Oryctolagus cuniculus: one gene and its partners. The protein of the gene in region 4 purifies or fractionates together with the protein of the main gene of each other region. This does not show direct contact. Links are inferred from orthologs where the notes say so. Each region holds a gene or a part of one and is shown on either strand. Other genes may lie near its edges. The genes, in order: STK4, STRN, STK3, SLMAP, STK24, STRIP1 and MOB-like protein phocein.

Region 1 (4,406 bases), on a different chromosome or scaffold from region 4:
GCAAAAACATTGAGCCCCAAGCAGTTCTTCCCACAAGATGTCTGAAGTATCCTTGTATAATCCGTTTCCTTGTAAGACAAGACCAGATCACAGCAGCAGAGGGAAGACCACGTGAAGACACAGGGAGGAGACAGTCATCTGCAAGTCAAAGACAGAGACCTCAAAAGAAACCACCCAAGGCTGGCACTAAGGCCACCTGTGACACCAGCATCCCATGTGGGCTCTGGTCCACGTCCCTGCTATTCCACTTCCGATTCAGCTCCCTGCTAATGGCCAGGGAAAAGCAGCAGAGGGTGATACAAGTATATGGGCCCCGAACACCCATGTGGGAGACCTGGATTGAGCTCCTGGCTCCTGGCTTCAACCTGGTCTTACCCTGGCTGTTGCAGCCATCTGGGGAGTGAACCAGCAGATAGACAACTGATCAAGATATCTCTCTCTCTCTCCCTGTAACTCTTTCAAATAAAATAAATTAATTTAAAAAAAAAAAAAAAGAAACCATCTTGCCAAAACCTTGACTTCTGAGTTCTAGCCTCCAGAACTATGAGAAAATAACTTTCTGCTGCTTAAAACAGCTCGTCCATGATACCTCATAAAAGGCAGTCCTAAAAAACTAAACAAAAATCTATTAACCTGCTGCAAATTAGGAAGTCCAAGTCATGAGCAGGAGACACAGTCATTCAAGAACTCAGTCCTGCAATGCTCTCTTCTTGCACTTTTAGTACATTTTTTAAATCCAAAAGGTACAAGAATAAGCATGTTGGCCGGCGCGAGGCTCAACAGGCTAATCCTCCACCTTGCGGCACCAGCACACCAAGTTCTAGTCCCGGTCGGGGCGTCGGATTCTGTCCCGGTTGCCCCTTTTCCAGGCCAGCTCTCTGCTGTGGCCAGGGAGTGCAGTGGAGGATGGCCCAAGTGCTTGGGCCCTGCACCCATGGGAGACCAGGAGAAGCACCTGGCTCCTGGCTTCGGATCGGCGTGATGCGCCGGCCACGGCAGCCATTGGAAGGTGAACCAAGGGCAAAAGAAGACCTTTCTCTCTGTCTCTCTCTCTCACTGTCCACTCTGCCTGTCAAAAAAAAAAAAAAAAAAAAAAAAAAAAAAAAAAAAAAAACAGAGAGAGAGAGAGAGAATAAGCATGTCAAAAAGCAAAAAGATTTACTCCTCTGCCCGAAGATTATATAATCAAAGGCACAGGGAGAAGCAAAACTCAAGATCCCTAATCCTCTTTTCAATTAAACAAAGGTCTCAGAGAAGGAATCCAAGGAGAAGGAACGAATGTATTTCAGAAAGGAGCGTAAGTAGTGCACATTTGTAAGTGGCTCACTATGGTGCTGGAGTGAGCACCTGTTAACACACACAAGGACCTGTGACACAGGGGTGCTTCCAGTGAGGCACTTTAACAGCAGACTTTGGACCAAACCGCCTGGATACCAGGATCCCAGCTCTGCCTCTTACGATAAGGGGCCTCGGGCAAATCACCAGCATCTCTATGCCTCCGTTGTATTATCTGTAAAACAGGCATGTAGGAAAACCTGCCTCATGGGACTGTGAAGATCCAACCTGTCACTAAGAAACTGAACCACATGAAATTACCATTTTCATGTTCAAAAATGATCAGAATCAAACGGAAAGCACTTAAAACGGCGCCGGGCACCCCCTGAGCGCTGGGCGCAATACTAGGCACTGCTATTACAATCTCAGCATAGGACACTCAGGGGATCACCAGCCCCTCCGAGCCGCCTACTTGCCTTCTAGATGCGGGCCCCCAAGGGCGCTGCCCGGGCTGTCCGTCCCTTCCCTTCTTCACCTCTCGGTTGCCCCACACTCTCACACACGGAGCACTTCCTACTTTAGCGCTCATTCTGCTACAGGAAGTCAGATGTCTCGGTGAAACAAGCGAGCGCCACGGGCACCCCAGAGAAGCAGACTCTGGGTCTCTGCCCCCCGCTTCTCGCCAGATGGGGCGGGACGGCCTAAGACCCGGGTATCCACAAGGGAAATCAGCCCTACACGTGCACCCAGCGCCAGCCACCTCCCCGCTCTTGACCTAAAGCCATCCCAGGTAAAACCACAGAAGCTTCCAGTGACTCAGAGCAAAAACAGCGAACACACATGCGTCTCAACTCCTCTGGCTCTCAGTCTGCCCACCCTGGAAAATATCCTCTTACTTCCTTACCGACATGCTAACGCTGGATTTCGAAGGGCTTCAAAGGATGCGGGAAAAAAACTAAGAGGGCACTTTGGCTAGCATCCCGCCAGGGCGAGGGCACCACCGGGAGCCCCCAGGCGCTGCCGCCACGACCCCTCCCCGGCCACACTCGCAAAGCTTTCCGCCCAATGGCTCGCCCCCGGACTGCGCCCCTCCGGCGGGACTCAGGGCCCGGGCTTCCTCCCTGCTCCCTCTCGATCGAGCCTTTCAGCCAGACCCCTCGGAGGCCCTCCTGCTCCCAGGCGGGCATTCCCCGTCACCCCCGCGAGCCCCGTCTAGGACAGCTGTCCCGAGTGGTCCCTGGCCTCAGCCGGGGCTCCCCCTAACTTGCGCCGCGTTCCTCGGCAAAGTCCCGCACAGCGAGTGCTCCCCCCTCCCCGGCCAGCCCCCGTTTACCCGCTCCAGTGGGCGCTCCCTGAGTCGGACCCCCCCCCCCGCCAGACGTCCCCCTCCCACCCCAGCAGGTGCCCCATCAGCCGGGTCACCTCGCCCGCTGGTCCTTTCCCGCCCACACAGGGGTCTCCCCTCAGCCAGTTCCCGCCTTTTCCTCACTCGGTCGCCATGCCCCCCCGCCTGGCCCCTGGCCCCTCACCGGCGCGGCGGGTTCCTCAGCTGCACCGTCTCCATGGCGCTGCCGGCAGCCGCCCAGCCCCGCGCACTACTCCATCCTCCCCGGGACCTCTCCAGGCCCGCCCCGCAGACCCTCCCACACTTCCGCTTTCCGCCCCTACCGGAAGCAGCGCGCGGCTCGAGAGCGCGGGGGCGGCGCTGGGGACGCTGTGGGGGTCACGTGGTGCTGGACGTGAGTCACGTGTCGCGACGGGGCGCGAACCCGGAACCGCGAAGCTGCGGAGGCTCCTCCTGGCGGTGTGTGCTGTGTGGCTGCAAGCTGTGCGCGACGCTGGGTACTCGGGAAGCCACCTCGGCCTCGGATTGCCCCCGCATCTCTTGCCCGAGATACTGAGGCTGCCGGCGAGGCGCGGACTTGATTAGAACTGTTGATTCGTAAGCCCAGTTCTGAACGATTTGTCGGAGCCTATGCCGCTGCGGTGGCGCCTGGACGTCTTTGTACTGATCGTATCGGGTCCCAGATGGTCCCCTGCACATCCTCTCCTTGGCTGTGACAGAGCGCCAACCCACAGGTTGCTCCACCCTTTTTCTAAACAGCCTCACCTTTGGGTCTGCAGACATGAAAATGGCTACTGTTTATTTTTTAAATATCGTGGGAATTAGTAGAATGATTTTAAGGTTTATTCATTTGAAAGTCAGAGTTAGAGGAAGAGACCTTCCGTCTGTTGGGTCCCTCCCTAGACGGCTGCAACTGCCAGGGCTGGGTTAGGCCAAAGCCAGGAGCTTCTTCCAGGTCTAATACGGGAGTGCCAGGGGTCCAAACACTTGGGCCATCTTCTGCTGCTTTACCCAGGCCATTGTAGGGGAACTGGGTCAGAAGTGGAGCAGCGGGGACGCGAACTGGCTGGCTCCCATATGGGATGCTGGCTGTTGCAGGCCTCAGCTTTACCCGCTGTGCTACAACGGTAGCCCCCAAAATGGCTTTTATAGACACTTGGCTGACTTGATCTATTACCTCATTTAATCTGCATACGAAGCCTGAAAGGTTATCACCAGCATTATATTTATATCCTTATTTGACAGTGCTTACTACACTGTCAGTGTTACTAAGTAGTAACTCATTTAGTACTAACAGTCCTATAAATAATACTATTCCTATTTCATAAGAGCTGAGAGGTGAAATAGTTTCCCTCGGTGTCATACAGTTGTACAAGTTTGAGGATTTAAATCCACATGGATTTGACTCCAGAGGCTGCACACCAAACTGGGCAGCCAAGCTCATTTCTCGCTGGACCTGGAGACTGCTGTCTCCACTCGGAGCTCCAGTTCCCACTCTCACGATTGTGCAAGCTACCCCTTCAATAAGTGTTAGGAAAATGGCAGGTCCAGCAGAGAACTTAGACACAGAGCAACCTCTGTGATTGTCCTGCTTATCCCAGAATACAGCACCTACACCACACCTGAACAACTAGCTTTCAGGGCCACCCAAGCACGGCACCCCGTGTGCTCCCGGCAGGGGATAGGGCAGCGTTCCCCTGACCTAAGAGGAAGACATTTACTGAGAAGCTACCCTGTGCCAGACACAATCCTAGACTTCCACTTAGTCCTCAACACAGCCATCTGA
Region 2 (3,695 bases), on a different chromosome or scaffold from region 4:
ACAACAGAAATGATACTTGACTTAAGCAGAAAACAACAAAAGCAAAAATACGATGCTCAATATTTACAATTAAAACTGAACAAGCTATATACTTATGAAAACATTTTAAAAAATACTTACATCATAAGTTAGTGAATCTGCTTCATTGGCCACTGTAAGGCCTGCTAATTCTCCAAGTCCCAGTTCACTTTCAAGGGCTTCATCAGCTCCCATGATGAATGACTTCCCAGAAGAAGGAGGAAATGTTAATGCTTCCACTGAAAGGAAACATAACATACCTCTGAAGAGCCAATAATTAGTCTAATTTGCTTCTATCAATTTTCTTGAAAGGGTATGTATACATTTAATTATTGTAAAGTGCTTTTAAACACAATAAAATTCAGTGAGCAGAAAACCCTGAGGAATTTATTGCTTTATCCATACCTTAACCACAGCTGAAGGGATTAACTAATTAGAAGAGTAAAACAGGCCGGCGCCGTGGCTCACTAGGCTAATCCTCCACCTTGTGGCACCGGCACACCAGGTTCTAGTCCCGGTCGGGGCACCGGATTCTGTCCCAGTTGCCCCTCTTCCAGGCCAGCTCTCTGCTGTGGCCAGGGAGTACAGTGGAGGATGGCCCAAGTACTTGGGCCCTGCACCCCATGGGAGACCAGGAGAAGTACCTGGCTCCTGCCATCGGATCAGCGCAGTGCGCCGGCCGCAGCACACCGGCCGCGGCGGCCACTGGAGGGTGAACCAACGGCAAAGGAAGACCTTTCTCCCTGTCTCTCTCTCTCACTGTCCACTCTGCCTGTCAAAAAAAAAAAAAAAAAAAAAGAGTAAACATAAAACAAATCTAATAATCAACTGTTCTTCCCTTTTCACAATATAGAAAATATACAGGGGCTGGTGCTGTGGCATAGCAGGTAAAGCCTCTGCCTACAGTGCCAGCATGCCACATGGGCACCGGTTCAAGTTCCAGCTGCTCCACTTCCCATCCAGCTGTCTGCTATGGCCTGGGAAAGCAGTGGAGGATGGCCCAAATCACGTAGTAAACAGTATTCTGCCTCTCTTACAAGAATTCTAATTTATGTATGATACAGGATGGAATCTCTGATAAAAACTCTTTTTGAGAATAAGAGAAAAACTATTTTCCTCCATATCTAAGACCTAATCTTCAAGTAAATGAAACTGAGTAAGTCTTGTTTCCATAATGTCAGTGGAACAAATCTACTAGTGAACAGATCTACTGAGGACCACGATTTCAAATTTGTAATTCAAAAGACATGAATCTACCTCAAATAAATTGCACATCTAGAGTATGACACAATGATTCTTTACACGAGTAATAAATTACAACTATGCTAAATTACTCATGGGCCAAAAATTGCACTGAAAAACTATTCAAACATGAAAATTCGCAATCTTTTCACTTTATGTCTCTTTAACAATGCACCTGAATTCAAAAAAAAAAGAAAAATACAATTTTTATTCTGTGGCTTTTTCTCAGGCTGTTTTGTTCCATAAATATTCATTTGAATGGACATATAAATTGTAAGAAATTATAGTATTTAAGATCAAGGAAATTTTTAAAATAAAATTTGAAAAATTTTTATTAACAAAAATTATGTTTATGTGATCCTGGATTATCAGCTAATAGAAATGTATACTCTGAAATCAATTTTCACATATAAGCATTTTATACATTTATAATAGAACTTGTATCTAAAAGAAATATATAAGCATAAGATTATACTGTAAAAAACTGGGCACAACCTAAATACTGATCTCATATTAACTCTAAATAAATAATCTTAAAATTATAATAATAAAGTTATTGGTATGATCTTATATTAAGCAAATAAAGTAAGAAAGAATTACTCTACATGAAGACTAACCTATGTAAAACTATATGCATGTGGGTCAGGACTGAAAGGGAATGAGAAAAAGCAGAAAGTAGAAGATGTGATTAGACCTTCAGGTGACTTTTCCCCATTTCCATTTATCAGTGATAAGCTGCTTAAATATTTTTGAGTCTCCAAGTAATAACACTAATTTTCCCTTATCTTAAAGACTGAAGTTGAAATCAAACTCCCTTGAATGCAACAAAGCTTGCATTTAAGGAATTCCATATAGATCAACTATTTGCAGAATAAAATTCTCTCAAAGGTAAGAGTCCTTTCTAACATCTTAACTGAGAGAGATTCATCAAGTGCTTTCTGTGGCCCAAAATATCTGAAATACTTGCCTTCATCTGCCCTATTAATTTCATGTTCAGGAAGTCTGGAACTACTGGGTCTGGAAGGTGAACCGACAGATGGCTGCAATGAAGGAAGTTCATCAACATCTCTCAAATTAGCAAGCATATCTTGTAGTTTTGACCTATTGGGCCCTATCAAAAAAAAAAAAAAAAAAAAAAAGGTAGGGGGAGAGGAAAATAAAAAAGAGGAAACAGAATTATTCCACTGCATCAAAAAGGTACCATAAATCTTATTTCACATCCGTTGACATTCATCTTTAAAAATATTCTACTGGATTAATTATTTTCAAAGTTTTCAAATTATTTTAAAAATGTACTATTCCTGAAAACAATTGCATTTTACATGTATTTTTATAAGTGAATGCAATATCACATTTGCATAAACATGTATATCATGTCCATCTGGATCATTACAAGTAATATTAGTTTATAATCCAACCATTGTCTATCACGTTAAATGATGACAGATACCACAGATTATGAACCTACAGAGTACTAAATTAAACAATGACATCCCTATTTAAATTAAGACGCATTCAGTGCCTTCCATCTTGAAGCTATCATCCTGAGGTGAAGTCTTAGGCCCTGTCAGTTACTTACCTGAGCTTTGATTCTTCATTCTCCCACATCCCTGTTTTGACTGTTTTATATAGCATAGAGGCTGAAACAGATCTTCGGTAGTTTTTCCTGTTATAAGTTTAATTAAGAATGGGAAAATCTTACCCATAGTCCATTATGGTTTTTCTCCTATACCACCAAAGAATATAACTATTTTAAAGCAATTTTAACTAATACCTACAAATGTATTTCAAGACAGTATGACTAGAGGACACAATTTGACTGGAAATATTTCAACTTGATTATATTAAAAAGACTCGAACTTTCCTAGTGATTAATAATTCAATTTAAAAATTTATATAGTAGTTTGTAAACTAATGCTTCATGTATCTATTCAAAGCTTTGCTTTAGTTTTATTTTTATAAGCCTTCAGTTGTTCTCAACTGGTATCTTTTATCAATATAATGTGAACTTAAGATGATAAATGTGGCCAACGTCAGTCTACAGTCTAACTTCAGTGTACTATACTATAAAAACTATATACTATAGGCCTGAAAATGGACCATAATCCCCAGATTCAGAAAATCCAACTGCTTCCACTGGCAAGAATACTGTTCCAGTCAAATGGTGCAGTTTTACACCTCATGTGCTAAATTCCAACTACAGCAATACCTTGATATTTGATAAACACCAAATAATCAATGTAAGAGTCGATGGATTCTACACAAGTCCTGGCTACCCTTTTCTATCAGTACACTTTTACATTCAAAAGACATTAATTTTTGTAGTACAATGACCTAAAGAGATACACATGAGTAGTAAGCTAATCTGGAAAATGCTTCTCATTTAATATCCAAATTTCTCTCAAAATTTTAGTCTAACCGATATTGTCCAAACT
Region 3 (4,328 bases), on a different chromosome or scaffold from region 4:
GCCCAGAGCTGCTTCAGGGTCTCCAACATGGGTGTAGAGTCCAAGCACTTGGGTCATCTCCTGCTGCTTTCCCAGGTGCGTTAGCAGGGAGGAGGATTGGAAGTGGAATAGCTTGGGCTCAAACTGGCGCCCATTTGGGATGCTGATGTTGATGTCCAGGGGAGGCTTAACCTGCTATGCCATAACGCTAGCACCAGAATGGGCTCATTTCAAAGGCTCTTTCCAGTTTTAACGTCTTAGTGATTTAGTGTATTGTTGTTCTTCTTCTTGTTATTTCTGAGCAGACTGTGGATCTTTAATAAATGCAAAAATGCATAAAATGTTTAATCTCTCTTCACAGAATTTGACTTTGTTTCAATAATACAAGATCTTTGTGAATGTAAAATAACAAAATTAGGGGAGCATATAATGGTTTAAAAACAAATCCGACCAGCCTAGCCCCAGCTGTTGTAGGCATTTGGGGAATGAACCAGGGACGGGCGCTTTCTATCTCTGTCTCTCAAAAAAAAAAAAAACAAAAAAAAAAAGTAAGCTTATTACAATGAAACTTAAAATAATGCAAAAAGAAGACTAAGCTTGTCTAGACTGCTAATAGACAAGATCAATTTAGGTTAATATTCATATTATTCAACACTTTTTTCATTGTTCTAACCACCAAAAAAGCCCCGTACAACTGTACATCTTGGCGACTTCTAACGAAAACTAGCAAATTCGTAATGTCGTGGCTGTATGTGCTCATTAGAAAAATCATATGCACGAATTTAATCAACACACACAATATGGATGAATGAGGGCGTCAAATTACAATAGGGTGAGCTCTGCTGGGAGCAGGTTTGGGGGAAAGGCCAGAAGAAGGAAAGCCACTTTCTTTTCTAGGCACCAGAAGTTGTGATAAGCTTGCCAGCTTATCCATCCGGCCAGAGAGCAATACCCCGGTGCACCGAACCTTGGTGCCGGGAGAGCTCTCACTACAGCAATTATTTTCTCTGTAATTAGACGTAATTATTGTGAAATGTAGCGAGGCGCACAGTCAAAATCAAACCAGAATTTCCAGAAGTATCCTTAGTACTGAAGCTACAAATGTCAAATGGCTGGGAAAAAACATAACCAGTAATTATAAACAAAACTAGAGAAGGAAGCGTGGGCAGTTAGTAATACTTCAAAGGCCTTTGGGATGCACCCTTGGGAATCCAGAGAAATGAGTCCAATCAGATGCGGGCAAGTGCAGAAAAGGCAGGAGGGGTGCAGCTCTGGCCCCGCTCAAAGGGACGCGCCCCGCACCTGCCTAGGCCGGCTCCGGGATCCCGCGAAGGCCTCATCCGGGTGCTCGCCCACTACCACCTCCGTCTTTCCCTCTCCGAGGCAACGGCCCGCCCCTTCCTCCGCCCTCGTCTCCACCTCCTCCCCACCTCCAAGGCGCCTGGCTCCGCCCACCCACCCTGAGCTGAGCCGCGGCCGGCCACGCCCACCCAGCGCAGGGCCAGGCTCCGCCCACCCCCGCCTGGCCGCGGCCGGCTCCGCCCACCCAGGGCGCTGGGCTCTACCCGCCGTCTCAGGGCCGCTGCCGGCGGCCGAGGGGCGGGGCGGGCCGGGAGGAGCCGCGCTCCGGAGCGGGAGGGAGATCCGCCGTGGAGTTACGGGAAAGTTGGTCCGAGTTCCCGGAGTTTTTCTCTGTGGTTCCCTGGGGCTCGGTCTGCCGGCACCCCGGCTCCATTCCTGCCTCTGGCCTTCGCGGTCCATCGGGTCCCTGTTTCTGCCCCCGGCCGCCATGGAGCAGCCGCCGGCGCCCAAGAGGTAACGAGCACTAGGAGCGGGCAGCCCGAGGGGAGCGGCGGCCGCAGGGCGGAGGCGGCTAGGCCGGGCTCTACCGCGACCCTCTCTCCGCCTTGCCGGGACCCGAGCCTGGCGCGCCGAGGGTCGGGAGGCAGGTCCGAGTGCCCGGCGCCATCTGTCCGCGGGGCGACTGGGCCTGAGGGGAGTGGGAGCCCGCCCCGGGCCGGCAGGGCCTGGCGCGCGTGGGGAGTTGGGTGGGCAGCGCCAGGCTCCCCCGGGCCTGACCTCCGGGGCCGGGCAGGGTTTTCCCCTCGTGGCGAGTTCACGCAGCCTGGAAGCCCTAAAACTAGGAAATTATGTACAATTATTTACAACCACGTAGGCTCTCTTGTCAAAGTATTTTTCATAATATTGTCCCCCCCCCATCCTTTTTGGGAAAAGGCGGGTTGTTTATTTACAGTTAAGGAATTAAATATTAATAGCCACAGAGTTTGTAAAACTTACTGTGAGTATGCCGCACTGACAGGTGTTCCTCCTCCTCCCCCTCAAGTTCAGAAGTATTTGTGGAGGCAAGACAGTAGAAATCTTAGAACCCTCCTCCATCGACTTTTGCATGTATAAATAGTGATGCTTTGGTATGGTATTCATCGTTATTTGCTCTTTGATAGATTAGCAATGTATGTGTACAGAGTAGATGTGTTAAGTATTTGCAGTGATCTTAGGAAGCTAAATCAAGGTTATTCATTGATGCAGGTTCATAATGTGCGTTTTCACCTTAAGAGCGAATCAGCTTATTGACGTTGGATAACACATTTAACCTCAGTCTTGTTTTTTTTTTTTTTTTTTAATTTATAAAAAATAAGGGCACTTCTCTCTCTCCTGGGGAGAGCTGTTGTGTCGATTAAAGAGTTCATGTGCTTTGATGCCTAGAGATCTTTAGATGAAAGGTGGAATAATTAAAAAGGTGGGAGCTTTGGGAGCTGTTGAGAGTTGTGAGACTAGAGACCTGTGTGGCCTGGAAACCATCTGTGCAGGGGGTGGGGATGGGGATGGGTGTGTCCTAGAGGGATTTTTCAAAAGGGCTATCAGCTAGGAGAGCCCAAGGTAACGGATAAATTATTTTCTAGAATTTTCTAGGGTGTCTGTATTCTAGTACTCACTGGGCACTCCCTTTGCTACTACAGAGAGAATTGGGCCCTTTTTCTTTCCTGTGTTGGGAGGACTGTAAGTGGGACACCTCTGAGATCATGCCAGAGGCCAACTTGAAAGAGTTTGAATGGAAGCATCGGCTCTGTCTGTTGATTATTTCTGCTGTCAGTTCTGCCGGTTGCATTATAGGTGTAAGAGAATCTGTGGCCTTGCAGAGACACTAGACAATCTGGAAGAGTCTGGGGGAGGTGTGGGTGGTGGTGCCATGGTGATTTATACTTTTCAAAGTGGTGGTTGCACATTAGCAGACTTATTTTTAGCTCTTTTCAGAGAGACTTATTTTGATACAGGAAGGCATTTCTGAAGAGCAAAAGATGCGTGAAATGAATCCTTTATATTTAAATATCTCAAGATTTTTTCATGGCGTTTTCCTATCCATAATATTTAATCCTCACACCAACCCTGTGGAGAATTTGGATTAGAGGCATTAATCCTGGTTTATAGATGAGGACATTGAGAGAGTTTCCACAGGGGAAGAAGGCTATGCAGGAATTACAGTGTATATTTGTGTTACTCCCTTGATCATTGCCTTCTAGTAATAAAATATAGCTACTATTTTTGAGATCATAATATTCACTAGGAAATTTATACAGTCAAGCATTGCTTAATGACAAGGATAGTTCTGAGATATGTGTCACCAGGCAATTACACAGTCATGCGAACACCATACAGTATACTTAATTAAACTGAGACAGCTGTGATGGATGATATATGGCTAGGTGATGTCATCTTTTGGGACCATCTTCATATGTGATCTGTCATAGACATGAGGTTCATGACTATATATACGTTCTTTTATTTAGTGATTGTTAGAAATAGTAATCCTGGCTCCATTTCTTAGTATATTAGTATGTTCTTTTTTATTTTTATTTTTTGAAAAATTTTTTTTATTTGACAGAGTTAGAGAGAGACAGAGAAAGGTCTTCCTTCTGTTGGTTCACTCTCTAAATGGCCGCTACGGCCAACGCTGTGCTGATCCGAAGCCAGGAGCCAGGTGCTTCCGCCTTGTCTCCCAGGCGGGTGCGGGCACCAGTGCCCTCCCTGGCCACAGCAGAGAGCTGGCCTGGAAGAGGAACAGCCGGGACTAGAACCCAGCGCTCATATGGGATGCCGGTGCCACAGGCGGAGGATTAGCCAAGTGAGCCATGGCACCGGCCTCTTTTTTATTTTTTAAAGATTTATTTTTATTTATTTGAAAGACAAAGTTACAGAGAGAAAGGAAGATACAGAGAGATCTTCCATCTGCTGGTTCACTCTCCAAATGGCCACAATGGCTGGGACTAAGCCAGGCAGAAACCAGGAGGCAAGATCTTCTTCCGGGTCTCCCACGTGGGTGCAGGGTCCCA
Region 4 (3,695 bases):
TTAATCTTATTTTCATAAAGATTTATTTTATTTATTTGAAAGACAAAGTTAAAGAGCGAGGTAGAGACAGAGAGAGAGGTCTTCCATCCACTGGTTCACTCCCCAGATAGCCATAACGATCCGAAGCCAGGAGCCAGGAGCTTCTTCTGGGTCTCCCATGTGGATGCAGGGGCCCAAGGACTTGGGCCGTCTTCTGCTTTCCCAGGCTGTAGCAGAGAGCTGGATGGAAGTGGAGCAGCTGGGTCTCGAACTGGCACCCATATGGGATGCCAGCACTTCAGGCCAGGGCTTTAACCTGCTGTGCCACAGCACTGGTCCCCCTCAATATTAATCTTTTAAATTTTTTCTTTATTTGAGAGACATTGAGAGAGTTCCCATCCACTGCTTCATTCCCCCAAATCCAGCAAGAGCTGGGGCTGGTCCAGGCCAAGGCCAAGATCCAGGAGCTTAATCCAGGTCTCCCATATGAGTGGCAGGGAGGTTTATCTCCTGCCTCCCACTAGAAGTAAGCTGGAATTCAGAGCAAATCTGGGTCTCATACTCAGGGCCTCCAATATGAAATGAAGGCTTCCCAAACTATCTTAACCACTAGGCCAAATGCCCACCTGCATATTCATCTTTATTGAGCATAATGGTGAACTCCTTATTAGTCAATTCAAGATACTTATATTATTCAGAAGCACTATTATAAATATTCCTTTATTGAAGAATTTCTAGGATGTACGTAGATTAGGATTTAGAAACTTATATATAATATAATAGCCTTGTAGGCTATATTGAAGGAAGAAGTGGAACCTTTCTGATATGACACATCCATGGTATATTTATTTTCTATTCAGTACTTTATGCCTTGCTTCTAAAAGCTTCATATTTGATAGGGTGGGGCAGCAGAGTCAGGGACAGAGGCACATCTATCAGCAGAACAGGTTCTGCTCTTTGACTGGAAGTCCAGCTTGCAAGGAAGATGTCTGAAAGTGGAACCTGTCTAGAATTCCAGCCTTCTGGGGCCATTTAAAGTAGGGGTGGGTCACACCACATTTCACATTGGTCTTGCCTATGCTCAAGGGAGAGCTAGTTTATCTGAAGGTCAAATTATATACAGTGAACCATTTTCCAGGGCAGGAAGTAGCAAATTTCACTATAGTAAAACTTTTCACAGATTTCTAAAAATATTTTTAGATTTATTTATTTTATTTATTCGAGAGAGAAAGAAAAATATTTCCCATCCTCTAGTTCATTCCCCAAATTCCCACAGTGGCTGGAACTCAATCTAGGTCTCTCACAGGGGTGGCAGGAACCCAACTACTTGTGTGATGACTTGGTACTCCCATGGTGTGCATTAGTAGAAGCTGTAATCAGGAGAGGAGCCAGGACTTGAACCCAGGTACTCAATATGGTACGTGGGTGTCCCAGATGGTATCTTAACTGCTATGCCAAATGCTCACCCCTAAAATTATTTTAATTGATGCTTTTAAGTAGAGAGATCAAAATTTTCCAATCATAGTGGTAAGTATTTTTGATACATTTCTTTGCTTCATTTGGCTAGAAAACTCAATCAGAACACATTAGTGCCCAGTGATGCTGGAATGCTGGATAAAGAAAAGCCTGTTGGGAGTTAATGTCTTTTTACTTTGAGACTAAAATAGCTTGGCTGACTTTGTCCAGGATGTAAACCCAAGCTTCCTAATACTGCCATTTAATTAGGCTATGGAATTTTTCTTTACTTGCTTTTCTTTTGCTCAGTTTAACATTTTGCTTTTCTCCTATAACTTACTTAGTGGAAAATGTGACCTTTTATATTAGAAACAGATGACAAAATGGTGACTCCTGTTAATTCTTTTTTAACTTCAGGGCCAGAAACTTCTTAAATAGATTCACGTCAACATTAAAACATGAGCACGCAAGATTCTTAGCTTGCTTAAAACAAAAAGCCTTAACTTTGATGTTGCAGTTGACTAAATAGGGTCTGGTATATAAGCCTGAATAAAACCATAACTTCATACCCATTTTAAGTTGAGTCTGCACACTCTTTTTTCTTTGCCTTTAGTATGAAAAGACACAGACTGTACTCTCAGAACTGAAGTTGAAGTTTGAAATGACTGAGCAGGAAAAGCAATCAATCACAGATGAGCTCAAACAATGTAAAGACAACCTGAAGCTGCTCCAAGAGAAAGGAAATAATAATGTAAGTCTTTGCAAACTTGGCTTAGCTTTGACTGAAAGGCAGGTGAGAAACTGGAAATTGATTTTCAGTGGACTTTATTACTGATTTGGGAAGCTAATGGCCTGGGGTACAAATGAAATAAGCTTTTCATTATGAAATTCCACAACGGAACCATTGTATTGTCAATATTTTTTAGTAGGAATTTGCCCTTTTAACCTGTACCCCTAGAAGAGCCTGAGTACTGCCTGGACGAAGAGCCCTGTTTGCAATCAAACAGCTTACCTAAGAACTGTCAGCTTTTCCCACTTAAGTCTGAAGTTCTGTCACTAAGCCATCATCTGGCTCTTGTTCCTCCTCTGCTGGAAAATGAAGCACTGTACCACCAGGGATCCATTTAAGGAAAAGTATTACATGTTGACCCTTAGCATTTGGTTGTGTCAAAAACAATGGAGCCTTATTTATGGTTTTCATTTTATACCAATAATGTTCTCACTGAGGCACATCCTAAAAAGCTTAGTGTTTTCTTTGGCATCCTGTAAATAAGAGGAAATACTTGGTGAGTTTCTTTAGGGCTTCTTGAGAAAGAGAGAGAGATGGAGAGAGAAATGGAAAGGAAGAAAGAAAGGAATGGAGGAAGGAAGGAAAAAAGTTTAGGACGTTCTGGTACTGGTATAAATTGAGTTTAATAGCATTTATTTCCACTTGTTAGAAAGGCAGTGGTCTGTAAAAAGATGTTATACTAAATAAATGTTGTGTTGTATGTTTTGGTGATCATTGCCTTTGTGGGCCCTAACTGGTGAATGTTCTGTGTGGTTGGTTGTGCTCTGACTTATTTCAAATCCTTGTCACGGCTTGAACACTGCAGTGGGTTTGAGCCACATGCTTCCTACGGAGGAAGGCACTCTGCCTAACTTGCAGCACGTGTATAAGATTGATGTTGCATGGCCATCCAGTTACGCAGTTGCACACAGAATGCTCAGGAATTGTGTCCAACTGTCCTTGGCTTAAGAAAGTCTTAGTTTGTAAACAATAAAGCTTTGCTGCTTAGGTAGAAACCTTTTAAACAATGGTGAATTATTATATATGGAAGCTTTATGCTAAGTGAAAATAGATTGCATTTTTTAAGAATAAATCTACATTTTAACAGATAGATTATTGAACTCTTCTAAAAACCAGATCTTAATAGTTTGATTACTTCTTCTTTTGTATTAATTCATATCCCTCTGATTATGGAATTTCAGTCTACTTCCTGTTAAGTAAACCTATGAAAACGTGGCATAATAAAAATCCTCTGTACTATTTAGAACCTTTTTAAAAGTAGGAGTACTATTATTATTTGTAGTTATAAAAAAAGAGTCTACCGTAGTGTGAATTTCCTTTGTGATATTGAACTTAAAGTACTAAAATAGTACTCTGTAATAACATTCATGGAACAATTCCCTCTCAGTCATAAAAATTAATTATATTCTGGTAACATAACTGAAAGTCCTGAGACTCAGACGCCTTTTTTTTATATACCAAGGGGTTATCA
Region 5 (3,345 bases), on a different chromosome or scaffold from region 4:
GGAGCCAGCAGGCACAGCCTCACGGTCAGATCTGGAGGAGGCACAGGAAGCCGCTGGTCTCTGTGCTGCCTGCTGCCCTGCCCTGCCCTGCCCTGCCCCTCCCTCTCGCTGCTCTCGGCCGGGACCCGCGCACTCAGTGCCCTGTGCTCCTGTGTTGCAGCTGAAGGAGAAGAGCCAGGCGTGCGGAGGGAGCGTGGGTTCCATCGAGGAGCTGCGTGGGGCCATCTACCTGGCGGAGGAGGCCTGCCCCGGGATCTCCGACACCATGGTGGCCCAGCTCGTGCAGCGGCTGCAGAGGTGATGTGCTCGCCACGCTGCCTGTCCCTTGGCGCCTCCTCCTCGTACCTGCCTCTCTTGTTCCAGGCCACAAGGCGAAAGTAGGAGCAAGTTAGGGCAGACGTGTCTGGAATTCTGTGCAAATCAGTAGGCGTGAGTGACAGGACGCCAGAAACCAGCTGCAGGGCCACGGGACCCTGCACGTTGCAGCTCTTGCCACAGAAGTATGGGCTGATGGCCACGTGTCTGCCCACTCCTGAGTGTGTGCCCAGTTACTATTCGGAGAGGTAGCGTGCGTAGCCCTGCGAGCGACCACTGTCCAGCAACACGCAGGCTGCGGCACAGAGAGCCAGCAGCCGCCTGCTGCTCGGCCTCACTCCCGCTTCTGGCCTTAACCCTGGGGGATCCCCTCAGACTGGGAGCGACTGTGCGTGAAGCGCTCCAGAGCCTGTCTCCATCTCAGTTGGGGTTCGCTGAATTCTCTCGTGTTGTCAGCTCGTCCCATGATCTCATTTTTTAAGTTCTGGAAGCTAGAGTCAGGGTCTGTGGCTAGCACTTGCTGTTAAGAGACTTTACGTAACCATGAGTGGTCTGGGACAGCGCCGAGGGCTGGAAAGTTTGAGGAAAGTCACCAATACATCCTTGGCCAGGTTCTGCACCGTAAAGGGTGACAGCATCATAGAGTGGAGACTGCGTGACCCCTGGCCCCCGACCCCGTCACCTGCTGCACTGCCTTCCCTTGTCACATGCGAGCCGTGAGCACGTACCAGGGTTGTGAGTGCACAGAGGCCTTGTTAGACGTGGCCTGGGACATTGTGCGTTGCCCAGGACACAGGTAATCCTGTGCATACTTGCTAACTGGTGTAGATTCTTCATCTCACTTAGAAGTACAGGTCATTAGAATCTTAGTCTGTTTCATCCAGCTTGCATAATTTACTCACCTGTTTCTTTGTTGTTGGGCATAAAACTTTTTTCTTGTGATCATAGTAAATTTTGAAACATCTCGAGAGCGGTCTGTCTCCACACGTGGCTACAGAGTGGGCTGCTTGGATGAGGTCGGAGCTTTTGTGACTGGAAATGGTTGCCTGCGCTCACGCCCCCGCCACGTGCGTGCGGCCCGGGCGGCTGTGTGGCTGGGGCTTCCCCATTAGCTGTTGGAGGTTGCCGAGTCTGTGGGGAGTCACTTCCGGCTTCACTCCCGGCGTCCCTGCGGCCAGGCCGAGCACGTCCTGCCGTGCTGTTGTGCCCTGTGCAGGCGTCTGTGTTGCAGCCGTGATGCCTGTCATCGTCACGCGTCGTTTGGATGGTAGACTGATGACGCTGTTCATGTTGGCTCCATTTACGTTCCTGCAGCTTGGGTTGCTGTTGCCGTTGGTTCGAGTCTTCCCGTGGGGCCTGGAGGCGGCACTCACTCGGCTCCTCTTCTCTTCTCCCCAGGTACTCTCTGAGTGGCGGAGGAACCTCGTCGCACTGAGACGCCTTGGCATTTTGGGTTTTGTGTTTTTCTTTCTTCTTCATCCTCCTCCTTAAGAGTCAAGGAGAGCCTTTGCTGACTGCTGAACAGGTGCGCGGCCCAGGGGCCGTCCCCCCGGCCGCCGGCGCCCGGCGCGGGACACGTGGCGGCCCTCGCCGTGCCGCGGCCAGATGAAGTCTCCGGGACGGATGGGGTGGGGCTGTGCCTGCGCCTGCAAGCGATTGTTTTATTATTCCTGTTTTTACTTTTCACCATAGTGCACATATTCAAGGAGAGTGTCTTTAAAACTCACACAAACCGGAAGTGTATATTTGGGATTCCGATCAGGCAATGCAGACGCGAAACCTCAGGTATCCTGCTTCAAGCTGACAGCTCCCCCGGGAGACGCAGAATCGCTCTGGCGGGTCGGTGTACAGATCTGTATATAGTGTCATTTTTACGGAAACCCTTTTGGCGTGCATAAGGAATCACTGTGTACAAACTGGCCAAGTGCTTCTGTAGATAATGTCAGTGGAGTAAATATTTGACAGGCCATAACTTGAGTCTATTGCCTTGCCTTTATTACATGTAAATTTTGAATTATGTGAGCAGTGACTTGGGTTTTATTTTGTACTTGCAGGGTTTGCCATGAGTAATAACTCCCGCTCCTCTCTGTACCTCAGCACAGGCGCCATCCCCTTGGTACACTTAGATGTTGGTTTCCTGTCCCATTGATGGTACTATTTCTTGGTGTTTTAAATCGGAACATATCTTGTCTCATGGAGCTTTAAGTTATTGTTTCACGTTTCTCCCGGATGCCGCGCCCTGGGCCAGCCTTTGTTTGGAGTCGTGCCACTGCCGGTGTGCGCCGGATGTACCGTCTTCTCCCAGTACGATTTTCTGTTGCACCTTGTAGTGGAATCTGCATATCATTTCTGCCACCTAAAACGTCTGAATGCTTACACGAATAAATTTTATAACACACTTACCTTGCATACTCTCCTTGGGACGCGGCTCTGCGGAGCCCAGGGCGGCCGTGCCGTGTATGTATGTGTGGCTGCATGTGTGCCAGGACGGCAGAGGGGCCAGTGTCCGTGCCCGCCCCCTGCAGCTCGAGACGGGCCCTGGAGGACATGGCGTGGCGCTCGCCTGGAGGCACCCTGTGGGTTTCTGGGACGGCGATTTCTCCTGCCCTGTGGACGTGTGTTGATGCTGCCAATTGTTGGGAGTGGCGGTTCTTGGGGGAGCAAGGCAGGCAGTGAGCGGGTGACCCTCAGGGCGAGTCTCTGGCTGGCCATTCCGGGGAGAGGGGCAGAGGCCGAGCCGGGAGTGTTGGAGGGATGCTGGCTGTTCTGACTGGTGCCAGTTGTGTTTTCAAACTCTCAGGATGTTCTCGGAAGTGAGCTTGGCTGGAACGGTTAGTGTCTGAGGGATGCGTTTTGGTCGGGGATAGAACCAAGGTGCTCACCCTGGCCTGTGGCTAGAATGTGGCTGGGACAGGAGACTGGACAGCGTTTTGTGTCTCTGGAGAGTGTGTTGCTGCGGCAGGAGACAGAGTTGCCCTGAGAGGATCCCTGCTCCCCAGGGCAGACGCAGCTTTTCCGATTGGTTGAGTC
Region 6 (4,237 bases), on a different chromosome or scaffold from region 4:
CAAGGTACACAAAACTTAAACAAAATAACATACTATTCACATATATGTATGCATACATATGTGTGTGTGTGTATCACTGATACAACTAAGGAAAAAATGATTCCAAAATGATACACATTGTAAATCTCCGTAAAGACCAATATGGAGAAAACTGCCCCCAGATGACAAAAGGACTGTGCTTTACCCGACAGCTCTGCGGCCCACTTGTCTGTGTCAGCATATTCAAACTCAAGGTCTGGTGACTCGGAGTAGCCCTGTTGACAAAAGGAGACAGCGTTACGCGTACTTTACAAAGCAGGAAACAGAAATGCACCCAGAGCCACCACTGTTCCCAGGAAACCACTGCCTCCCCTTTGCTTGCTGTTCGATCACCATATTTCGTCTCCTGGGCTAGCCCCGCGCTCCTCCCCACCAAGCCGTCTCAGAGCACCTTATCCTGTCCCTCCAGAGCGCCTGTAACTACTGCATGTGGGGTCCAGTTTCCACCTCGCCACGAGACTGCAAGGCCCTTGAAAGCAGGAAGTCAGTCCACGTTGATCAGCAGCGATTTCACAATGCCCAGCACAGTCCTCCACTGCTTTATATTCAAATCCCTCTCAAATGAACGAACACAAAGCTTCCAAGTACGTTGTGCCCTGAAGCCACTATTCCACAAAGTGCTAGGATTCCAGAATCTAGGCAGCTAGTGGGCTATCAACCCAGCATTCAAACTCTTAGTCTCTCGCCCTTGTCTCAAACTGCAGTGAGAACTGACAGAGAAGGCAGCAAACAGATGGGCCCGCCTCCCACACACAGGAGAATGCGACAGACCCTTTTCACTGCTGGGCACAGGTGATTACCCAGAACACACCGTCCTGTAGGCCTCGCGATAGCAGAGTGGTGAAGAGAGCGGTTCCCACCCTCAGTCTTAGGTAACATCTACAACAAGAGCTCTGCCCCTTATTCCGAGACAACACACGACCCCTCTCCCAAGTCACTGAGCTTCGCACTTTCCTTTTTAGAAGATTTACTTTACTTAGTCATTTGAAAGTCAGAGTTACAGAGAGAGAGAGAGAGACAGAGAACGAGAACTTTCACCCACTGCTTCACTCCCCAAATGACCACAACAGGCAGGGCTGGGCCAGGCGAAAGTCAGGCACTTCATCTGGGTCTCCCACACGGGTGCAGGACCCCAAACGCTTGGGCCATCTTCCGCTGCTTTCCCAGGCCATAGCAGAGAGCTGGGTCAGAAGTGGAGCAGCTGGGACTTGAACCAGTGCCCATATGGGATGTGGGCCTCGCAGGCGATGGCTTAACCCACCACGCCACAGTGCCAGCCCCAGTTTCTTCCTTTTTGGAATGGGGATGAGGAAAGTCTACCCTGCAGGTTTTTAAGAACCGATCAGGATTATGTAGCACAGAGCGCTCTCGGCAGAGATCAGCCTCCCTATCTCCCAGGCATAGATCCAGCTCCCAGCTACTGCCTTCCGCCTGACTCAGCCTCTGCACCTTAAGGAGACACCTGCAGACAGTCTCCTGGCCTCCCGTGGGTTCAGTCTCGGTGGAAATGAAAAGGTAGTAAGAGACGTGAAAATGCACCCAACGGTATTCAACTGGTCATGGCTACTCAGGAAAATGTAAAGCCATTTTCAAAAATAACCCCTCTCAGGATGAAGGTGGGCTTACGCCCCTCACTCTCACAACCTCCCCGTGCTTGAAAAAGTACTGAGTCGTCCTCCTGGATGTCCCACCACCCACGGGTCCCACAAACGTCGGTTTCCTTTGCTTTTCCAAAGAATTCACTTCCAGCTCCAACTCTGAGCTTGCCAGTGTTTTACACCAGAGGTCTGGGGTTGCAACAAAAGCACAGAAGACGGAGAGGAGCTGATCCTGCACGTCCAAAGCCAGTATCCCGGCTCTGCGGCGGGGAAGAGTGGGGACACTGCGCCTGGACAGCGATGGCTCCCTCTCACTCATCAGCGCCAGTCGGCGGAGCGGCCCGGGATTGCGTCAGGTGAAGGAGACTGCATAGTAAGAGCTCTGGCACGCGCTGATTACGATGCCCTACAACGCTGCGACGTGCGTCTTCATTCATGAATCTGCGCAGGGAAGCGGTAGGAGCAACGCCTTCTCTCGGGGCGAGGTGAGCAGTCAGCTGCTCCCCAGCCGGCGCCCCTGGAACTCGAGCGAAGCCTGGGTCCCCGGCACGAGTGCGTCTAATCCTTTAAGGGCCCCCAGCATCGGGCGCTCTGGGCACACCAAGCACTGCCAACCCATGGCCGGAGCCTGCACCAGAGGCAACGCCCCCTGCTCTCGAAAGCTCCGGCCTCGCTGTACTATGAGTGGTCATTAGCTCCATCCGCCTTCCAGGCGCCTTGTGTCTAAACCCTCGCCAGCCGCCTCCCTGCCCGCCCGCGCCGTCCGGTCGGCGCCCTCCACCGAGAGGATAAGAGACTGGGGGCGCCCGCTTTTCATCGGCGGCCGCGGCGGGGGCGGCTTGTCCGCGGGAGCCAGCGGGTGGATGCCGGCTCCGGGAGCCTGTCTCGGGCGGCGCTGCCAGCCTCACGCCCCCGGCCCGGGGAACTGCCACACCAGCCTCGCTGCCTGCTCCTTCGGCTGTAAAGTGACAGCTCCCCGGTCCCGCCCCGCCGAACCCCCCGGGAAGCCCAGCTCGGCCGCGAGCGCGAGCCCGGGCCCCCAGCCGCCGCCCGCCGGGTCCTAGCCTCGCCCCCAGAAGCTCCTGACCTCCGAGTCTTTGCGCTGGTTGCGGTTGAACTCGCGGGTTTTGCCTCCGGGCAAGAGGCCTCCGCCCGCTCGCGGTGCTCCAGGGGGAGGCTGCGCAGCCGCGGGCGGTGGAGGTGGCGGCGGCTGAGGCTGTTTGTTATTCACAATCAGAGGGCCTGGACCACCGGCTGCCGGCTCCATCTTGGCTGTTCCACACCCCCGGCTCAATTCACGAACAGTCCCCGGGATGCAAATCTCGCGTGACTTCCTCCAGGAACGCTCTCTCTGTTCGCCATATTGAGTGTGGCGGCAAGTGCGGGAAGCCATCTTGGCTGCCCGACATCTCGCGATATTTCTCCTGGCTGAAATACTGGTTTTCTTGGTCTTTTCAGTTTCTGCTCTTTCTCTCCAGTTCTACTCAGATGTCGTTCTGTGTGTGAGGCCTGCTCTATCTCGTTCAGTCTGTTTAGCGGCCCCCCTCTTTCCTCTAAAATCGATTTACACTTAGCAATGTCATAGCAGTGTTCAAAACTTAGGGATACCGTAGGGAACAAGATGGATAAGACCTTTTCATGGAGTTTGCACTCATTTGGGGTAGCCATGCACGACTAAATCAATCACAGTGTGGCACGTGCACTCATTGTCTGCTATGCTTAAGCAGTGAGATAGCACAGAGAAAACTCCCAGTCCATAAATGCCTAGTGGGCCAAACAATGAACAAAAAAGGGTGATATTAGAGAAATAAGGCTGTGAGGTATTCGAGGAAAAGGTATTCATGACACTTGTTAAAGATATCAGGGCAGAGCCGGCGCCGTGGCTCAATAGGCTAATCCTCCACCTTGCGGCGCCGGCACACCGGGTTCTAGTCCCGGTCAGGGCACCGGATTCTGTCCCGGTTGCCCCTCTTCCAGGCCAGCTCTCTGCTATGGCCAGGTAGTGCAGTGGAGGATGGCCCAGGTGCTTGGGCCCTGCACCCCATGGGAGACCAGGAAAAGCACCTGGCTCCTGGCTCCTGCCATCGGATCAGCGTGGTGCGCCGGCCGCAGTGCGCCGGCCGCGGCAGCCAGTGGAGGGTGAACCAACGGCAAAGGAAGACCTTTCTCTCTGTCTCTCTCTCTCACTGTCCACTCTGCCTGTCAAAAAAAAAAACAAAAAAACATTTAAAGATATCAGGGCAGAATTTGTTCAACAGGGCACAAGTATAGGGGCCACTGCAACTTTGGCTTGCCTTAAGGGAGAGATTGAACCTAACTTTGCCTCCAAAAAGGACAAGTGAGGATCCGTGGACCAAAAACTACTAGGAGGAAGCATCAAGGGTAAGGTTTCTGACTAAGCTGACTTGACAGGATTACTGCTGGGGGCAGCCAGAGTACTGAGACATCAAGAGTGGTCCCACATCAAGGGTGAGTTTTTTGTTAAACTGACTTTGCAGGATTCTTGCTCAAACTGGATTCAACAAGGACAGAGAAGGGAGCCCCAGTTCAGGCCTGGTCAGGCAGAAGACTCAGGAGCCTTAACAAAGTTTGATCCAAGG
Region 7 (4,122 bases), on a different chromosome or scaffold from region 4:
AGACAGAGAGAGACACAGAGAGAGAGAGAGACAGAGAGAACTCCATCCAGATCTTCCCTGTGTGTGGCAGGGACCCAAGTACTTAAGCCATTACCTGCTGGTTCCCATGGTGCAGATTAGCAGGAAGCCAGATCAGAAGCAGAGTAACTAGGATTCAAAGCAAGCACTCCAGTACTGGATGCTGGCATCCCAAATGGCAACATAACTGCAGCACTAAACACTTGCCCCCTCCACCCTGCCTTTTTTTTTTTTTTTTTTTCTTTTGGAGTTTTTTTTTTTCTTTTATGATCAATTCCAAACACAGTACAGGGAAGATGGAATGAATACGAAAAAATATCATTTTATTTCCCCATTAAACACTAAGTCATATTATTCAAAATGTGTTTCAAAATCCTTAGCCAGATAACCAATTCCAGTCACTATTTTAGTTCTAATGTTCACCAAGAAAATAGTCAAGTAACAGAAAGCCATTATGAGAAACCATCAAGAGAGAAGAGCTACATTGCTATCTATAATTTAACTTAGTAGGTTATTCTCTCAATATTCAGCAAGTTTGCTTAAAAATTACTATTCCATTAGTTTATAGTGACATTAAAAAAAAAAAACGTATAATTTCAAACTCAACATTCCTTTCACCGTGAACATAAAACTTCTAAAAGATAGCTGTGAGTTGGGGTACAATAAGGACTGTGGCTGCTGGGACAGTACTGTTCAAAGCCAAAACGATTGGCAGCCTTGGAAAGGCATAAACTATATACACACACTCTCAGTATGCTACTATTTCTCATATTTTTTTCTTTGCATACTTGTCTCATAATATGGTATAAATAATTTCTTTGAAGACAATCAAGATGAATACATTTTCATCTTCATTTCAAAATAACTATTTTAAATGAAAAATTTTCTCACATTTGTTAAATATGTCTTAGAGATGAGTTTAAGTATTTTCTTCACTACATGTATAATTTTTCTACCCTATCTTAGTGCCTCATTACAATCAATTTGGCAATAAGACCTCTCTAGTACTCCATGAAAAACTGCATTCAATAGATTATAAGATCGTTACATCTGCACCCAAATTCTTATATGCTACAACAAAGTCTAAAAAATGTATGGCCATTCATCAACACCCTTGCATCAATTATTGCAAATAACCTCACATATGTATTTAATTCAAATTTTGTGGAGAAAGGGTACAAAATAAATACTACAATATTTCTTTAACTCTAATGCTGCCTAGAGTAAGATGAAAAGATTAATATTACTGAGAGGAAGAATCAAATGGCTTTAAGGTCTGTCTTCCAAGTAGTTAGAAAATTTTCACAAAACAAAGAGCCTATGCCAACACATCTTTCTTGTAGTGTAATATAATTGCTAATATGAGGTAAATCTGTAAGCAATTAATACAAACATGAGTATAAACAGGTATAAGTCACCACTAAGTCACAGTCTGGTGAAAGACTTCTCAGCTAAAGTATCTGGGGACAGGATTATGGGAAGTGAGAAGGGGGTGAACAGTTTTCCAGTGGGAATACCTTTTATGTGCCTTATCATTAGCATCAACTTATATGTAACAGTCCACTGCTGTAAAAAGGTATATCCTTTCCAAGTATGCTGGCCTAGAATATACTTTATATAGCATAGTAAGATTATATAAGAATTACTAATGCTTCATTTGCATTTATATTTGGATATACACATAATCATAAATGCATATCAAAAACTATAAACAGAATTTTAAAGTACTTTTATCTCATTTTGGAAAAGTTTACAGTTTATGTTCTATAGAATTTTCTATAATATCTAAATTCAGGGACAAAATGAAAGGAAAACATTACTATCTCTTTAGTAAATGGTTTGTGCAAGACCTCAAGCTTACTCATCTTTTTATATATGGGTTTATTTGATGAGGATTGTAATCCAATGATTGTTTAGCAGCAATTTTACCAAACTGTAAATTCTTTTATTAACAGGCATTATAAACAGATAATACTAATCTTATTTAAAAAACCATGAGTGCCACACCGGTGAATATACAGCTTATGAATAACTTAAAAAGTATTTCCCCTTTTAAAAGGCAACACACAGCATACAAAAACCTAATCTAAACAAAGAAGCTATAATATGAATACATGATTGATGTGTCTAAAATGATATATACAGTACATAATGAACGTTAATTATGTGATCAGTACATTTTTCTGTACGATTCCCTTCATGCTTCACTTTCTCCAGAAACTGAATTCTGAACTTCCTCTTCTAAAATTGGTACAATCAGGTTATCCTTGGACATCAAATTGTATTTCATCACAAATTTAGTAAACCGATGACACAAAAAGGTTTCATTTTCATATTCATCAAATATCTGCCGGTGATGAAAATAAGCATGCGAAAATATTCTATAAATCCTACGGCATACTGATCCTAGTTTTGCTACAGATGATTCCTTTATGCTAACCCTGCTAGGAAAATATTTATTGCTATTCAGAAGACATGCAGCACCATCAAGCGTGTGTCTAGTATAGTCTATAGCAGGACACTCTTTTGGAGTTTTATGAGCTGCACACAGAAAAATCCACTGTTCAGTTGCTGTCATTTGAGTACAAGTATCTGGATGGCATTCACTCTGAAGTTTGACAGCAAGTCCATTTAGCTCAAGACAGAATTGCCTTAAATGTTCATACTTCCATACACCTTCATCTTGGCCTTCAGGTGGTTCAAGAATTTTATCAATATTGGAGCAATCTGCTCTTATGTTCTGCTGAATATACTGCTGAACAGCAAGTGTACTGTCCATTTCATCAAAGGATTCATCAGGCCAATTATAGAAATCCTGCGCCTTGGTGCCCGGCCTGTTCCGCCTCAACACTGCCGTCCCCTCCGCCATGACCATAGTGCCAGAATCTCCACCCTGCCTTTTAAGAAAATTTCTATTCATCTGTGAGTTTTTGAACTCCTGTGACCATGCATCACTCTGGACTTATGTTGAGAACTGACCCCAGGGAGGCACGCATGGGTGCAGAGCAACCTGGTAGGAGATATGATGGTGCTTGGCTGCCACAGGAATGCTGTAGTCATACCATTAGAATCTGGATACACACAGAGGAAGTGAGGGAGGGATGCAGGAGGGGAGGGAGAGAGGAAGACAAAAAAGAATCTGGATATTCTTGCTAAGGTAGAGCCACCAGGAGGAATGGTTGCCGAGTGAGAAACAAATGAAAATTATATATATATGTGTGTGTGTGTGTGTGTGTATTATATATATAAAAGTGAGAACAGTAAATGTGTTTTTAAAAATTTTATTTTTTAATTTTGATTTTCAATTAGTTATAAGCAGTCAATGTAACATGTAGATACAATTCTATGAACATAGTGATATTGCCTTCCTCCTTCCCTCCCTTTCCCTCTCTCTCTTGCTCCAAAATCTCTGAAATATCCCAAGAAATCCTAAAGAACACTAGCCTTTGACCATTAGTTCTGATGTTCCCTGTCTTCATGATGCAGTTTATTTTATTTCCTTGAAAAGTAGAGTTGCAGAAAGAGAGAGAGGGAGAGATGGGAGAGAAAGAGATCTCCCATCTACTAGTTCACTCCCCAGATGGGTGCAAGGCTGGTGCTGGGCCAGGCTGAAGTCAAGAGCCAGGAACTCGGTCTCCCTCATGAGTGCAGGGACTCAAGCACTTGGGCCATTCTCCACTGCTTTCCCAGGCACACTAGCAGGGATCTGGGTCAGAAGTGGAGAAGCCAGGACTCCAATCAGTGCCATAATGGGATGCCGGCATTGCACGTGGTGGCTTAACCTGCTATGCCACAACGCCAGCCCCATGATGGCAATTCTTACCAGTGTCCTTGGCCATGGCTGTTAGTACTGGCATGTCAGCTCTTTCTCTCTGGTAATTACATTGGCAGGACTCGGTCTTCCTGTATTTTCTCTTGTGTGAAGCCTGAGACTACCCTTTCAGTGAGCTTCAAAATTTGCATGTTGGCTGCAAAGAGAAAAGCCATTTACTGCTTCCCTGAGAAGTTGGCTGGCTTTTTGCAATAATGGCTTTATTTGGACACATGTACAAAGACTTAGAAGAGTAAGCACAGTCTATCAGAAACTCTCCTGAACAACTCTGC

The links.
Region 1: the proteins of SLMAP (region 4) and STK4 purify together in Homo sapiens (co-immunoprecipitation; 3 studies listed by BioGRID and IntAct, with this or other methods). This does not show direct contact. The link is inferred for Oryctolagus cuniculus from reciprocal best matches to the Homo sapiens genes SLMAP and STK4.
Region 2: the proteins of SLMAP (region 4) and STRN purify together in Homo sapiens (affinity purification with mass spectrometry; 5 studies listed by BioGRID and IntAct, with this or other methods). This does not show direct contact. The link is inferred for Oryctolagus cuniculus from reciprocal best matches to the Homo sapiens genes SLMAP and STRN.
Region 3: the proteins of SLMAP (region 4) and STK3 purify together in Homo sapiens (affinity purification with western blotting; 3 studies listed by BioGRID and IntAct, with this or other methods). This does not show direct contact. The link is inferred for Oryctolagus cuniculus from reciprocal best matches to the Homo sapiens genes SLMAP and STK3.
Region 5: the proteins of SLMAP (region 4) and STK24 purify together in Homo sapiens (affinity purification with mass spectrometry; 6 studies listed by BioGRID and IntAct, with this or other methods). This does not show direct contact. The link is inferred for Oryctolagus cuniculus from reciprocal best matches to the Homo sapiens genes SLMAP and STK24.
Region 6: the proteins of SLMAP (region 4) and STRIP1 purify together in Homo sapiens (affinity purification with mass spectrometry; 4 studies listed by BioGRID and IntAct, with this or other methods). This does not show direct contact. The link is inferred for Oryctolagus cuniculus from reciprocal best matches to the Homo sapiens genes SLMAP and STRIP1.
Region 7: the proteins of SLMAP (region 4) and MOB-like protein phocein purify together in Homo sapiens (affinity purification with mass spectrometry; 3 studies listed by BioGRID and IntAct, with this or other methods). This does not show direct contact. The link is inferred for Oryctolagus cuniculus from reciprocal best matches to the Homo sapiens genes SLMAP and MOB4.

Annotation. Positions count from the first base shown.
Region 1 is NC_091442.1:14,199,339-14,203,744, forward strand, and holds the start of STK4 (serine/threonine-protein kinase 4), read right to left. Parts: upstream 2,944-4,406; 5' UTR 2,840-2,943; coding exon 2,805-2,839; intron 1-2,804. UniProt on the Homo sapiens protein: Stress-activated, pro-apoptotic kinase which, following caspase-cleavage, enters the nucleus and induces chromatin condensation followed by internucleosomal DNA fragmentation.
Region 2 is NC_091433.1:165,960,879-165,964,573, reverse strand, and holds part of STRN (striatin), read right to left. Parts: intron 2,927-3,695; coding exon 2,840-2,926; intron 2,372-2,839; coding exon 2,228-2,371; intron 258-2,227; coding exon 121-257; intron 1-120. UniProt on the Homo sapiens protein: Calmodulin-binding scaffolding protein which is the center of the striatin-interacting phosphatase and kinase (STRIPAK) complexes.
Region 3 is NC_091437.1:124,350,135-124,354,462, reverse strand, and holds the start of STK3 (serine/threonine-protein kinase 3), read left to right. Parts: upstream 1-1,508; 5' UTR 1,509-1,768; coding exon 1,769-1,794; intron 1,795-4,328. UniProt on the Homo sapiens protein: Stress-activated, pro-apoptotic kinase which, following caspase-cleavage, enters the nucleus and induces chromatin condensation followed by internucleosomal DNA fragmentation.
Region 4 is NC_091441.1:92,023,785-92,027,479, reverse strand, and holds part of SLMAP (sarcolemmal membrane-associated protein), read left to right. Parts: intron 1-2,047; coding exon 2,048-2,185; intron 2,186-3,695. UniProt on the Homo sapiens protein: Associates with the striatin-interacting phosphatase and kinase (STRIPAK) core complex, forming the extended (SIKE1:SLMAP)STRIPAK complex.
Region 5 is NC_091440.1:14,088,037-14,091,381, forward strand, and holds the end of STK24 (serine/threonine-protein kinase 24), read left to right. Parts: intron 1-160; coding exon 161-297; intron 298-1,713; coding exon 1,714-1,750; 3' UTR 1,751-2,713; downstream 2,714-3,345. UniProt on the Homo sapiens protein: Serine/threonine-protein kinase that acts on both serine and threonine residues and promotes apoptosis in response to stress stimuli and caspase activation.
Region 6 is NC_091438.1:60,289,561-60,293,797, forward strand, and holds the start of STRIP1 (striatin-interacting protein 1), read right to left. Parts: upstream 2,946-4,237; 5' UTR 2,905-2,945; coding exon 2,725-2,904; intron 255-2,724; coding exon 185-254; intron 1-184. UniProt on the Homo sapiens protein: Plays a role in the regulation of cell morphology and cytoskeletal organization. Required in the cortical actin filament dynamics and cell shape. Part of the striatin-interacting phosphatase and kinase (STRIPAK) complexes.
Region 7 is NC_091440.1:69,971,445-69,975,566, forward strand, and holds MOB-like protein phocein, read right to left. Parts: upstream 2,904-4,122; 5' UTR 2,894-2,903; coding exon 2,216-2,893; 3' UTR 321-2,215; downstream 1-320.